Caenorhabditis elegans: one gene and its partner. The protein of the gene in region 2 interacts with the protein of the main gene of each other region in a pairwise test. Each region holds a gene or a part of one and is shown on either strand. Other genes may lie near its edges.

Region 1 (4,286 bases), on a different chromosome or scaffold from region 2:
AAAAATTTCCGATTCAGCTTTCTGTTGATGTTGAGCAAACTGGGACTTATTTTTCAACTCTTCTTGATGTTTTGAAATCCTCCATGTCTTGCCTACACGTTAAAAAGTTTCATGGGACAGATTTCTCCGAGGAGCAGCTTCTATTAGTGATCCCTTTCCTAAAAGCTGGATATCTTGAAAAAATTGAGCTGCTTTCCAATGAGCCCACAGATCTCGAGAAAATCGCTAAACTTGAGCAATGGAAAAGAGCACAAGTTTTTGATTCGTTCTGGAAGAGTTATAAGGTTTCTGTCGAGGATATGCTCCATTTCAGAGAGTTCTATGTAATTGTACCTTGCTTTTCAAAAGAGGATGCAGTAAAACTGAGAGATGTAAGTTTAAATAAAAAATCGAAAAAAAATCCAAGTATTATTTTCAGTTGCTCACAAAATCAGTGGACTTCGAGAACGGGTGCTTCAAGTTCCCCGAAACCAACATTATCGAAATAGTGAGAGTTTTCATTCTGGACTACGAAGGAGAAGAACGGGCCAAAATTGATTATAACGAGAATGGCACAGATTTTATCTTGGACTTTAGCACAGAACACTTTCGATTGACAAAAAAGAAGATTGTGGACAGTGACTGAAATTAAATTTTAAAAAATATGATTTTTTTTAAAAGTTTTTGTATTGAATAAATTTGAGACAGACCGACGGCTCGAATTTCAGGTCAAAAGTAGAATTTTGCAGTTTGCATAATTTCAGTTTTTGATCACCCCATTCAGTAGGGAGCCATAAAAAATGGAATGATGATTAATATGCTCTTCTGAAAAATTAGACTTGTGTAAACACAGTGACGGATAACGACGTACGATTCGATAAAAAGGAATAGCTGCGGGAAATGGTGAGCACATGTGTAGGCTAGGAAGCAGTAGGCATTTTTTAGATGTGTTTGGTGCGGTTCAGTCAATTTTTTGCTGGGCTTTTGTGCTTCACATTGAGAGCGTTTTGATATTTTTGACTAGAAACTGAATGTGAGAAAATACTTGTTTCCGAGTATACTAGATGCTATACATAGGTTTTACAGTTTTATATCTTTATTGCATTTAACTGAAAATGACCAAAATCTGAAAAGTACGTAATTGGAAAATGTATGTCAAATTTCAGAATTTAATTAAATATACAACTGAATCGAAATCTGAATATTCTGAAATTTTCAATGAAGATCTCAGTTTTTTTTCCACCATCTTTTGCGCTAGGTTAGCTTAAAGACATTTTTCGTTTAAAATGAAAAAGTATTTAAATGAAAAATGACATATATTACGAAAATTTCCGCTTTCAGAAAATGTGATATCATATATTTCCAGCGGACAATTTCCGCATTTCTATGACTCAACAATTTATAGTCCAAATTTTATTTCAATTCGATCATTCCCTAGTGAATGTTTGCTTCTGATTGATTTCAACTTTAAATACACAAGTGATCTGAAGTATGGTATATCTGCAAAAAATTTTAGAGAGATTGCTGCTCAACTTTTGGCACCTTTTCTCTCGTTTCTCTAACTGTCACTTTATCCTTCTTGTACTAAGCCGGCTGCCTCCAACAGGTCAAGTGGGAGGAGTCGTGATTAGAAGTTGAGCAGTAACCAAATTATTTTTATGCTATTATTGTAGATACTGACAGGATATTCTCAACTTACTCAACGAGAGAATATTTAACAAAAAAAGATGAGCAGCCAAAATGCGAAGTCAATCGGTGGCATTTTGGAAACTTCAACAGGTATGCCCCAATTTATGGGATCGAAAAATTTTTTCATGCTTTAACTAGATAATTACTCAACTCACCGAAATGTATAAATGAAAGCATTTGGTAAAATATATCAGAAAATTTTTAGAAGTCGAAAACAAACTTGCAACGTTGTTTTCTAGATTTTGGAATTTTTTTGACATTTTCGAACAGATTGATAGCAATTTTTGTACTATACTTGTTGACATCTCAAAAATGTATTCTATGTTTCCATTATTTAGATCCCAGTTACGTTATAACCTGACAGAGGTTTGCGGGCGGTAAGTAGAAAAACCAGAAGCTTACAAAACTTGACCGCACTTATCAGCTTCTCAATTTACTTAGTTCAAAAGTTTTATGACAGAAGATTTACAATCTTTCACGCATATCTATAACTTTCAGTGCCTCTGGTCATCCAACCGCAGATTGTAAATGACCCCGCGCAAAACAACATAACTCTTCCAATCACGCTTTGTGCAGTTTGTGGGGACACTTCTAACGGAAATCATTACGGTTGGAAAGAAGATTTAGAAACTAGATAACAATGAATTTTAGGTGTGCCAACCTGTTTCGGATGCAGTGGGTTCTTCAGAAGAACCGTTAGAAACAAGTTGGTACATGGATGTTGGAATGGAGACGGAAACTGTGTGATTGATAAAGCGAACCGGAACAGGTGCAAGTCCTGTCGAATTAAAAAGTGCTTCAAGAAGGGGATGAATAAGAATGGTAAGCTGCTTCTCTGAGTTTGGGCTTCAGATCATTAACTTTGTGTTTGCACCATATAGTGCGGTAGGTATTTTTCAGTGGCCGACATTTTTTTGAGTTTCGCGCCGCACCATATTAACAAAGGCCTGAGGCCGGCAGAAGCCTCCTGAAGCCGGCGAAGGCGACACAGTTTCGTCTCTAAATAATTATTTTCCAGCTGTGCAACCCGAGAGAACTTCCCATAGCTACACTGTAGAGTATGTCGAGTTGCCCTCATTCCGAGAGTATTCCAAGGGACTTCTGCCTACTCACTCTGATCGTCTCAGATTCCAACACGAACATGCTCAACATGAAATTGTTAGTTAATCAGGAGACAAACTATCAACCTGAGACACCACAAATTTAATTTCAGGACACAAGCTCCGTGCTAGTTCATCTGAAAAACGCACTCCAGTGGGTGCAACAGTTTTCGCTCTTCGCAGTGCTTTCCGATGTTGAAAAGGTCTAAATGCCAAACATAAAAGTCATTAAAAAAATTTCCAGAGCCAGATCATACTGACCCAGTGGCCACATCTTTTGTGCCTCGCGTTGTTCGAAAACTCCGAAAAAATCTTCATCGATGAAAAATTTGCACAACTGGCTGAGAAATTCAAATCCCTCGAACTTTCGGCGCAGGATTATTTCCTCTTGAAGGGAATTATTATTTTCACGGAAAGTAAGTTTAACTAGAAAAGCTGCTGAGCTTTCAGAAACTAAAATTTCAGCCAAAGATGGCACTGATCTCAAATTCGATCGCCAACTTGATATCTGTATCGGCCTTCTCAATCAGTTGCACCTGGAGTCTTCAAAGTCCAAATCTGGAAGGCTTCTATTTCTCCTCGGCGAGCTTAAATCCTATTCTACTAGACAGCTTGAATCTCTCCTGGATCTTAAAGCTTGTGAGATTGTGATTAGTTTTCTTTAAATTTTGACTATTTTTCTGATGCTGTTATATGCACACATTACCCCCATTTTGCTCACTAGTAGTGCTCAGCTTAAGCTTAGACTTAGGCTTACGGTTAAGCTTAGGCTAAGGCTTAGGCCTTGGCATAGGTCCTGGCTTAGAGATTTTCATTTAATTTGCAACTGTTTCCTCAAAAACAATGTTCAAACCCAAATTTCTTTCCTATTTTTTCTCCAGATTCCCCCAAGGCAACCAAATTTTTTAAACAATTTTCTTCTCGATCAGTTGAAATACTTCCAAAAACGTTACAACGATTTTGAACAGTTTTTTTACAAGTCAAAACAGTAGTTGGCTGCAAATTTGGCCGCCAAAGTTTTTTTTTTTTGCAAATGGTAAATTCATACACAATGAACAAACTACACAATATACAGACGTTATACATTTATTTAAATTATATTTTTTGTTGGAAGCAATGTAAAGCGTACTTGACAGACAAAGTTTTTTTTTGTTTAAAATAATTTTTGATTTTGTTTTAAGTGACATAAAAGAGGTATGTAAACCGAATCAGATAAAGTTCAAGTTAATTATGTTTACCAGGGAGCTTAATCCTCGCACCAAGCGTTTTCCTTCTTCATGGCCTCCCGTTCCTCCTCGGAAAAATCGTTCTCAATGTTGAAGAGGGTTCGGATTTGGCTTGGAGTTTTACCCTTCATCATGTTAGCCACATTCTGGGTGGTCACGTCCAAAAGCCCACGGATGTCGAGGTAGTTGGCGGCCTGAAAAAGAAATCGGTTTAATGTTCAATTCTGGAGAATAGCTTATAAAACTTTAATATTTACCAAGATAATTTCGAACAAGGTTCCCTGATCGACTT
Region 2 (7,935 bases):
ATTCGGTAACGGAGATCAAGAACTGGGGCGAGTGGTGGTGGAAGATTACAAGGAGGATACGGACTTCAAAAGACGAGAAAGGCGGGGATTTTCATTTGGTTCCGGAACATTTGGTACCCATACAACAGATTGAGAAGAAAAAAGGTAGATACTATGATGGTGGGAGAGCATTTTTGAGGTAGTGGACCAAATCTAGCTGGTAGTCGGTGGAGCTGGATGGAGGTTGAACACCAGCTGACGTGGTCCATCGATCACTGATCGGACAGGCAGTTGAGCAAGGAACTCGGTGAGGAATTCACCTGAAAATGGAAAATTTGGTAAGGAAAAGCTCTAATTTAAAAGTCAACTTACCACTGTCATCATTGCACTTGATCAAAAAGCTCTGCGTTGGGAACGCCTTCTCTCCGATGTTCTTTCCAAATCCTTCTGGAATTGATCCTGAGGGAGAAATGCTTCCACTCTAAAAAAAAGTATGGTTGCTAAAATCATAAGATATGTCAACATACCGTATGAGAGTTTCTCTCATGATTTCCAGTTGCCTTCTCTTCTTCAATTTCTTTCTTTGTTCCATCATTCTTGAACGTAAGATTGAGAGCGGCTGCCGTTGAATCTCCGTCATATTGATTCTGATTCTGAACCACCATTTGAAGAGCTGCTTCAGTTGTCAGCTGCAGAGCAACATCCTCATCTTCATCGCCTCTTCCCTTCGCTTCACTCATTTTGATATGCCTCTCCATGTGCAAGTCAAGATTCTTTGGATCACGAGTCTTGTAACTACAGTCAGTACATTCGAGAAGATTTGAGCTCATCTTTTCCTCAGTTGATTGATTTCGTTGTCCGAGAATCGCCATCATTTGATTCAAATCTCCATTCGCTGCAGCAGCTCCAAAATGATCTTGAGCCATGTGCAACATCATCATTGATGGAGAAACTCTTTTATCGCACAATGCACATTTTTCTTCAGACATTGAGGCGGAATTCGGACCAGAGTTATTATTGGCTCCGTTTGGTGTTGTTGGAACAGATGATTTGTTTGGATTGTTACGTGGAGTTGACAATGGCAAGACTCCATGCACATCCTGACGATGTTGCCTGAGCTGATTACGAGTTTTGAACATAGTTCGGCAAGTGTCACATCGGAAAGTAAGCTCTCCTTCTCGCTCCTTGATGCTTGTGTCGATATTTGCAATAACTGTCTTGTTCTCATCAATCACAATTCCGTGCATTTTGAGCATATGTGTACGGAGGAAGTACTTGTTGCAAACTTCCTTGTTGCAAATATCACAGAAGTTTTTGTTGTTGGAAGAGTATTGACGTTTGACTCCACTTCCCTTGTTTGGCTGAAAATTTTGCATTTTAAAAAGGAAATTTCAATGTACCGATTGAAAAGAAACTGAAACTCACTGTGGACAAAGCTGACAATGGCTCAAAGTCTTGCATTCCAGCAAATTGTTGGTGGAGAGGAGACTGGAACATCAGTGGAATACCAGCTAATCCTTGTGGAAAGAGACCACTGAACATCATAGATTCATCTTTCATCTGCTTCTGATTCTGCTGATGAAGCGGGTTTGAAAGACCCATTTGAGCGAGAAGTGATTGCATGAGTTGATTATTTGAAGTTGGTGTCAATGGAGTTTCATCTCCAGTCCTCTGTTTCTTGGCTGATGGTTGCTGAGTGACATCATCATCATCTGTATTTGATTGAGAATTCGAATGCCCATTGACGATTACTGTAGATGGAGCTGAGTCAACTGAAGATGTCGTGCTAGCAGCACTACATTCCGTAGCTGTTGAGGTGGTCGGAAATACCATGGATGCCAGTGTTGAGTTCAGAGAAACAGCTGGTGGTGGGCTTGGAGAGGATTCTCGTTGTTCTTCTGGCTCCTGATCAACCTGAAATTGGCTTATTTCTTCAAGTGGCAAATTCAAATGGGGAATTTAAAAATTACAACTATTTTCGAATTTTGATAACGATAACAAGCGAAATCCAGCATTATCTGTCAAGATCCGTTTAGGAATAATTTAATAAATAGATTGGCTTCCACCTCTACTATTTATAGCTTTTTGAAAAGATGGGATCCAAAATAAAGAAAAAAACGTTGGATAATAAACGAAATAGAGAATTCTAAAATTGGTGCCCACTCAAATCTGCAAATACTCTCTCAAGTCTAAATCTTGGTACAAGATTTGAAAAATCTAGGTGCTAATCTGTTTGCATGAAGTCTGGCTGACAACTTACCGATTTAGCTTGTTGAGCAAATTGTGTTGCGAACTTCATCAAATCTGCATTTCCACTCATCAGCAGCTCGATAATATTCTTCTCGGCTCCGGAGTTGTTGTGTCCAGCGTCGGCGATGTTCGAGTCAGCCTGATTGCTCTGTTGCTGGAGAATCATCGACATCAATTGATTGTTGGCAAGGCCGTTTTGAATAAGTTGGCTCGGCATGAACATATCCTTCTCATCGGTCTCTGCCATGATGGAAGATGATGATGGAGCTCCGGAAGATGAAGTTGGGCTCGCAGATCCTCCAGAAGTAGCCATGACACAAGCACCTCCTTTATTCATCATATTGAATTGGTTGGCGCTTGACTGAAAAACAAAAACATGAAATATGAAAAATATGCAGACTATTTGCACTCGAAAATTTACAAATGTTGAAAATATTATAAAGACGAAAGATCGTGGGAGCTTAAAAGAAGCAATCTTGAATTGAAATTGTGTGTTTGGTTATCAAAGTAAAGTGGTTTCAATATAAAGGGATTAGGTATGCCAAACTGAGGTGAATTGAGAAAAATTTGAGAAAAATTGAGGCAAAAAACTCAAACTTCCACATGACTTTTTTCCCACACCCCGCTCATAGTCCGAAATTAGATTGAATATGTTGCCAAAAATTTCGATCAAAAAATTAGGAAAAAAAGTGCTCCATTTCCAAATGGGAAAAAGATGAAGAAAATCTACTGGAAGTTTTTAATATATTTTTTTTTTGGATTTATACATATTTTGAAATTTAATTCTGCGAAGGTGGAGGGATCATCCGTCTTGGAACAAGAGCAATGTTCTGTGCTCTTTTACGTTAAAGTTTACATGTAGGGAGAAGACAACTAGATCCATCAAAAAGTGTTATTTGACAAAAGATTTCAGATATGAAAAAGAAAAGAAGGAGTAAGGGGTCATTTGAAAGACAATAGAATTATGGATTAGATTGGAAGGAGGAGTACTGTAGTGAAGGGAGAAGGGATAGACTATTGTCTAATGAGGTGAGATTTCACACGAGATTACAAGCATCGTAGAAAAATAAGGGGGTAATTTGGACCATGCTCATTGAAATGTCAATTGACCAATTTTCAAAATCTCGAATTATCTAAGAAAAGTTTGCCAAATTTCTAATGGAACTAAATATTTGGGGAACCGATTTCTAGATCTAAAAGACTAGGTATCTTATCAGTAGTTATATTTGAAACACAGTTTATCAGTTCCAAAAACTATTGCGCAGTACCTAGGACCTTCTCAACTATCATAAAACTATATCGAAAGAGAACAGGGGAAAAAATGAAGAACAATTGATGGGACCGTCTGTCGGTCAACTGACCCGTTCCATGTCTCTTCAACAATAAATTCAATGCAACGTCGCGGGGAGAACGGGGGGGGGGGCAAATAAAATTAAAAACGGGGGAAGAGACTCAGACACGAAAAAACCAAAAAGGGAGAATATGAGTGGTCCCGTTGCGGGAGACCCTCCTCCCGTCTCTGTGTGTCTAATGCGAGATAGACGTAAAAAACGAAGGAGAAGAAGAGGAGACAACCCTGTATTTAGAGTGGACTTATAACTTCTAGAGAGTACACGTTTCGAGGAGACACAGAATGGGAAAAGGGTGGGGCTTCCCGGGAGGGATGTCTGAATGGTCCCTCCGAACGCGTCAAAAGGCTAACTAAACAAAAATTGAGTGGACAAAGAGTAAAGAAAAGGGGTCAAATGAACGAAGATTTGATCTAGTTTCTTGTTTGAACCTTTTTTGAAATACCTTAACTTCAAATTTTCTTAAAATAACTTTCAAACTCTCAAGAACAACAAAATCGAAACTACACGCATTATTGTATGAACACGAAATCGCCTTAACTTTTTTAGTCAAGAGAAATATGGATCTCCGAGCTTTTCTTGGTACTTATAATCGTGTTAGCACTTTTGAATCTATTAGATAAATTGAAAAACACTGAAAACTTTCTTCAAAATCTCGGAATTCTCAAAAACCCAAACAAGTAGGCGGAGCATATTCAAATTTCACCCGAAAAGAGGCTCCAGGCAGTGTCTCCTAGTGTCTCACTTTAATCGAGTAATCGTTTCCTGCGATTTTCGTTTCAAATATCCATCGGCAAGAAAAGGGACCTTGTCACATAGACAACCTTCCGTATTTTTACTAAAATTTTCCACTCTTTTCTATTTTCAATTGAAAAGGAGACGGAAAGAGCTCAGAAGCCGGGTAGAGGGAGATACTTCTCCAGCACCACAAGATTATTCAACTTTTATGAAACCGTGATGAATTATTCGCAAGGCGTGTGTGAACTCGAAGGAGCTCACCGGGAGGAAATTTAATGAATAAAGTCAATCTAGAATAGTCATGCTTGAATCTTGAATTCAAGTTCATTTCTACAAAGTTTCAGTTCCAAGTGATTCATTCAAAGCACATGAGAACTCCAACTAGTGCTTGAAAAGAAACTTCCAAGGAACGGAGATACAAAAATGTCAAAATCCAAGGCCAATCCTAAAATTCCATCAAAAAAACAATGTGAACCTTATCTATGGAAATTCATCAACGCCCTTGACCACCACTACATCATATTTATTTCGGATGGTCCAAACTCTTCTTTCTTCCCACACAACACTTTTACGATCAATTAACCCTTCACATCTGACATTGGAATCTGTTTCATATTTGCGCAACGGGCTAGATGGTTTTTCCCAAATTCCAAATTTACTAGAATTTGAGCAGATGTTCATCTTCGTCATTTGAATATGGGAATTCAAAGATTTGTTGGCTCATTGCCAAGTGGATTAGCGGTGGAGTGACAAAGGGAAGTGGTAAATCAATATTGGTTAGATACAGTAGTACGCACAATTTTTGAAAATTAAAAATTAAACATCTTAAAGGTTAATAATAAATTAATGGTGAGCCCAACACAAAAACAAACAGTTTCAAAAATTTTATAATATTCATTTTTGACATATCCTTTTGATCTGAGACTGAGTGATAAAATAGTATTGACAAAAATAGAGACCCCAAAGGTAGATCAAAAAAAATTTCTAGAACCAAAATATGTTCCCAAAATGGAACTTTACACAATATCTACTAGAACATAGTGGGATAACAAATAGAAAATTTCAGATCGAGTCTTGTGATTTTATCTAAATTTAGATTTGGCTAAAGGGGCAATAAGCTGATTATTTTGCATAAATAGTAGACAACGGGATGGATTATCGTAAATTCTTCTTTTTTAAGAATTCAAATCGCATGTTAGACAAATTCTTTTAATTTCTAAAGAAAAACTGAAAAAAATACTAGAAAAATTATAGACACAAATCAGAAGCTTAAAGAGGGCCAAGTCTTAGAAGTTTGAAAATATAAGTGGCGATAGAAAATATTTTAAAATAAATAAGATAATATTCAAAAATATATATAACAAATTTTTGGAGCTAGGTAATATCAAAGCCGAAAAACTTGAAAAAAGTAGACCTACAAATGGCTACTGTATTGTTCAAAATGACCAAAGTCTTGGCAATACAGGCTCAAAATGTATATAAGCAGGCTTAAAAACATTCAAAACTATGGCCCCCAAAAATTTGCAAAAATTTTTTAAACCAAAAGGTAGAAATTTGCAAACTTTTTCCGCTTCTAATTTTAGAAGTTGACTAAAAATGGCTCCTCTAGTGCAAATTCATAAAATCCAAGTTTCTTACCGGATCCATCGACATAAGCAACTGCTGCATATCGACCGCGTTGGCCATCATGTCCGAATGAAGATTCTCAACGATTTGTGAACAATTCCCAAAAGTCGAATCAACTGGCGTTTTCTGAAAAACAAGAAAAATTTAATAGATACTTTGAAATCTTCTCAGGTTTTAAATATGATAATATATACGAATTGTTGATGAAAAAAGTAAAAAATAAACCAAGTGTCTATGAGAATTCCCAAAAGAAGAAGGATGGATAGATGAACACAATTGTAGTTTCATTTAATTTTTTTTTCGAAATACTAAGAAAGAACCGAAAAACACAAAACACAGGTATTGCAGAAATCGAGCGCTTGTTTTCCAGTTTCCAGCGGCCGAAAAATATATAGGACTGAAAAAAAAGGCGAAATACTGAAAAAAAATAAAACTTGGTGCCTAAAGCTTTAACTAACTGATTTTCGAAATCTCAATAACATGTGCATATTGGTGGGGGGCAGCGCCTACTTGCACATAAATATAATATATATTAATTTCAATTCCAACCTCTTTCTCCCCCTTCTCTTGGCTGGCCCCTAATCGCGTTTGGCCGACTGCCAACACCTTTGGCTTTTCAATTTATATTTCCGCCAGTGATTTCGAAATTAAATCAAACGAAATTTTTTCTGCGTCGAGGTCTGGTCTGAGCTTTCGGCGGGAGAAGCAGGAAAAAGTGGAAAATTTCCATATTTTTCGATTTCAATTTCAATTTCAATTTCAATTTCAGCACACTGGTGCATGGCGGGCGAGTGAAATTGGCAGGTGTATATAACAATTCACAAGATTCTTTTTTTAATATTTCAACGAATTGAATGTCTGGGGAATATCAAAAATAGGGTAAACAACTATTAATGTGAAGCTTTCAAAATGAAAATTTGAAATTCTATAATTATATGACACTGATATGAAATCAGAGTCATTTTCTTAAAACGAACTAATTCAAAAATTATCATTTACGTTTAATCTCTCACAATATATGAAAATCTTCACCTGCCTCCTAAAATAATATATTTTTAAGTTTCAAGGTTCAGAAAGTTGTCTGGGGCTTTGAAATCGTTATGAAAGCTAATTGAAATCTAGAAGTTTCGACTTCAAGGTTTTGACATAATAAAAAAGAGAGAGAAACATGAAAACGAGTTTAAATTAGGTCAGAAATGTTGAAATTCGGCAGGAAAAAGTGATACATAAGGGAAGTTGCCTGCAGTTTCAGGTTGAAGATTTATAATAGATCAAAAAAAAGTTGGCGGTTGGGTAGTTTTTGGAGAACCCAAAAAAACATGCAAGTCTAAGTAGTGTAGTCGGGTAATTTGTAAAATTACCCGACTACACTACTAGTCTAGAATTACAAGGATTTTTTCTAAGTTGTTGGTGGATCTCTAAAAAAGTATTTCATGAAGTAAGACATAATGATGCCTGCCAGTGTGCCTTGCAGGCGTAAAGTCAGGTATGCTTGCAGGTATGAAAACTTTGTTGGTTTTTGGGTACCCCGCTTTCAGAGTATTCAGCTCAAAATCTGCAACTCCGACCCTAAAAAGGAAGTAAATCAGGAAAAGTATCTTAACATCAATGTTCCACATCCGGGGCAAAAAAGTGAAGTGGTGTTGAAAACTGGTTGTCATGCGGTCTATCGGAGCAATTCGATTCGATTTCAAGCCCCACCCTTAACGAATTCAAGTCTCTCACTTATTTCTCCACTAATTCGAAAAGTAATTCAAATCAAGTGACACCGCGGGGCTATGAGTGAGTCTGACATGAAATTCGTATTTCGCCTTGCACACATAAAAAAATTTAGTGTTGGCGGGTGGCGGCGGGTGGTGGACATAACATTGATATTAAATCCAATATCTGAGCATATTTCAAATATAGTCACAACTTGTTGAGTTGTATATGGGGGAGGCCACGCCTTCATTTGGAAATTTCTTCGAAAATCTTGCCTCCTTTACCGTAAGCC

The links.
Region 1: the proteins of die-1 (region 2) and nhr-111 interact in a two-hybrid assay, tested with the Caenorhabditis elegans proteins (2 studies listed by BioGRID).

What each region holds. Positions count from the first base shown.
Region 1 is NC_003283.11:16,122,202-16,126,487, reverse strand, and holds nhr-111 (Nuclear hormone receptor family member nhr-111), read left to right. Parts: upstream 1-1,648; 5' UTR 1,649-1,706; coding exon 1,707-1,758; intron 1,759-2,166; coding exon 2,167-2,277; intron 2,278-2,319; coding exon 2,320-2,490; intron 2,491-2,686; coding exon 2,687-2,826; intron 2,827-2,881; coding exon 2,882-2,971; intron 2,972-3,012; coding exon 3,013-3,184; intron 3,185-3,233; coding exon 3,234-3,433; 3' UTR 3,434-3,593; downstream 3,594-4,286. Other genes in the region: fbxa-143 (F-box domain-containing protein), read left to right, coding at 1-371, 419-625; skr-3 (Skp1-related protein), read right to left, coding at 4,015-4,188, 4,252-4,286. UniProt on the Caenorhabditis elegans protein: Orphan nuclear receptor.
Region 2 is NC_003280.10:10,061,913-10,069,847, forward strand, and holds the start of die-1 (C2H2-type domain-containing protein), read right to left. Parts: upstream 6,006-7,935; coding exon 5,955-6,005; intron 5,255-5,954; exon of another isoform or gene 5,234-5,254; intron 4,072-5,233; exon of another isoform or gene 3,919-4,071; intron 2,591-3,918; coding exon 2,240-2,590; intron 1,894-2,239; coding exon 1,405-1,893; intron 1,341-1,404; coding exon 507-1,340; intron 461-506; coding exon 352-460; intron 300-351; coding exon 193-299; 3' UTR 1-192.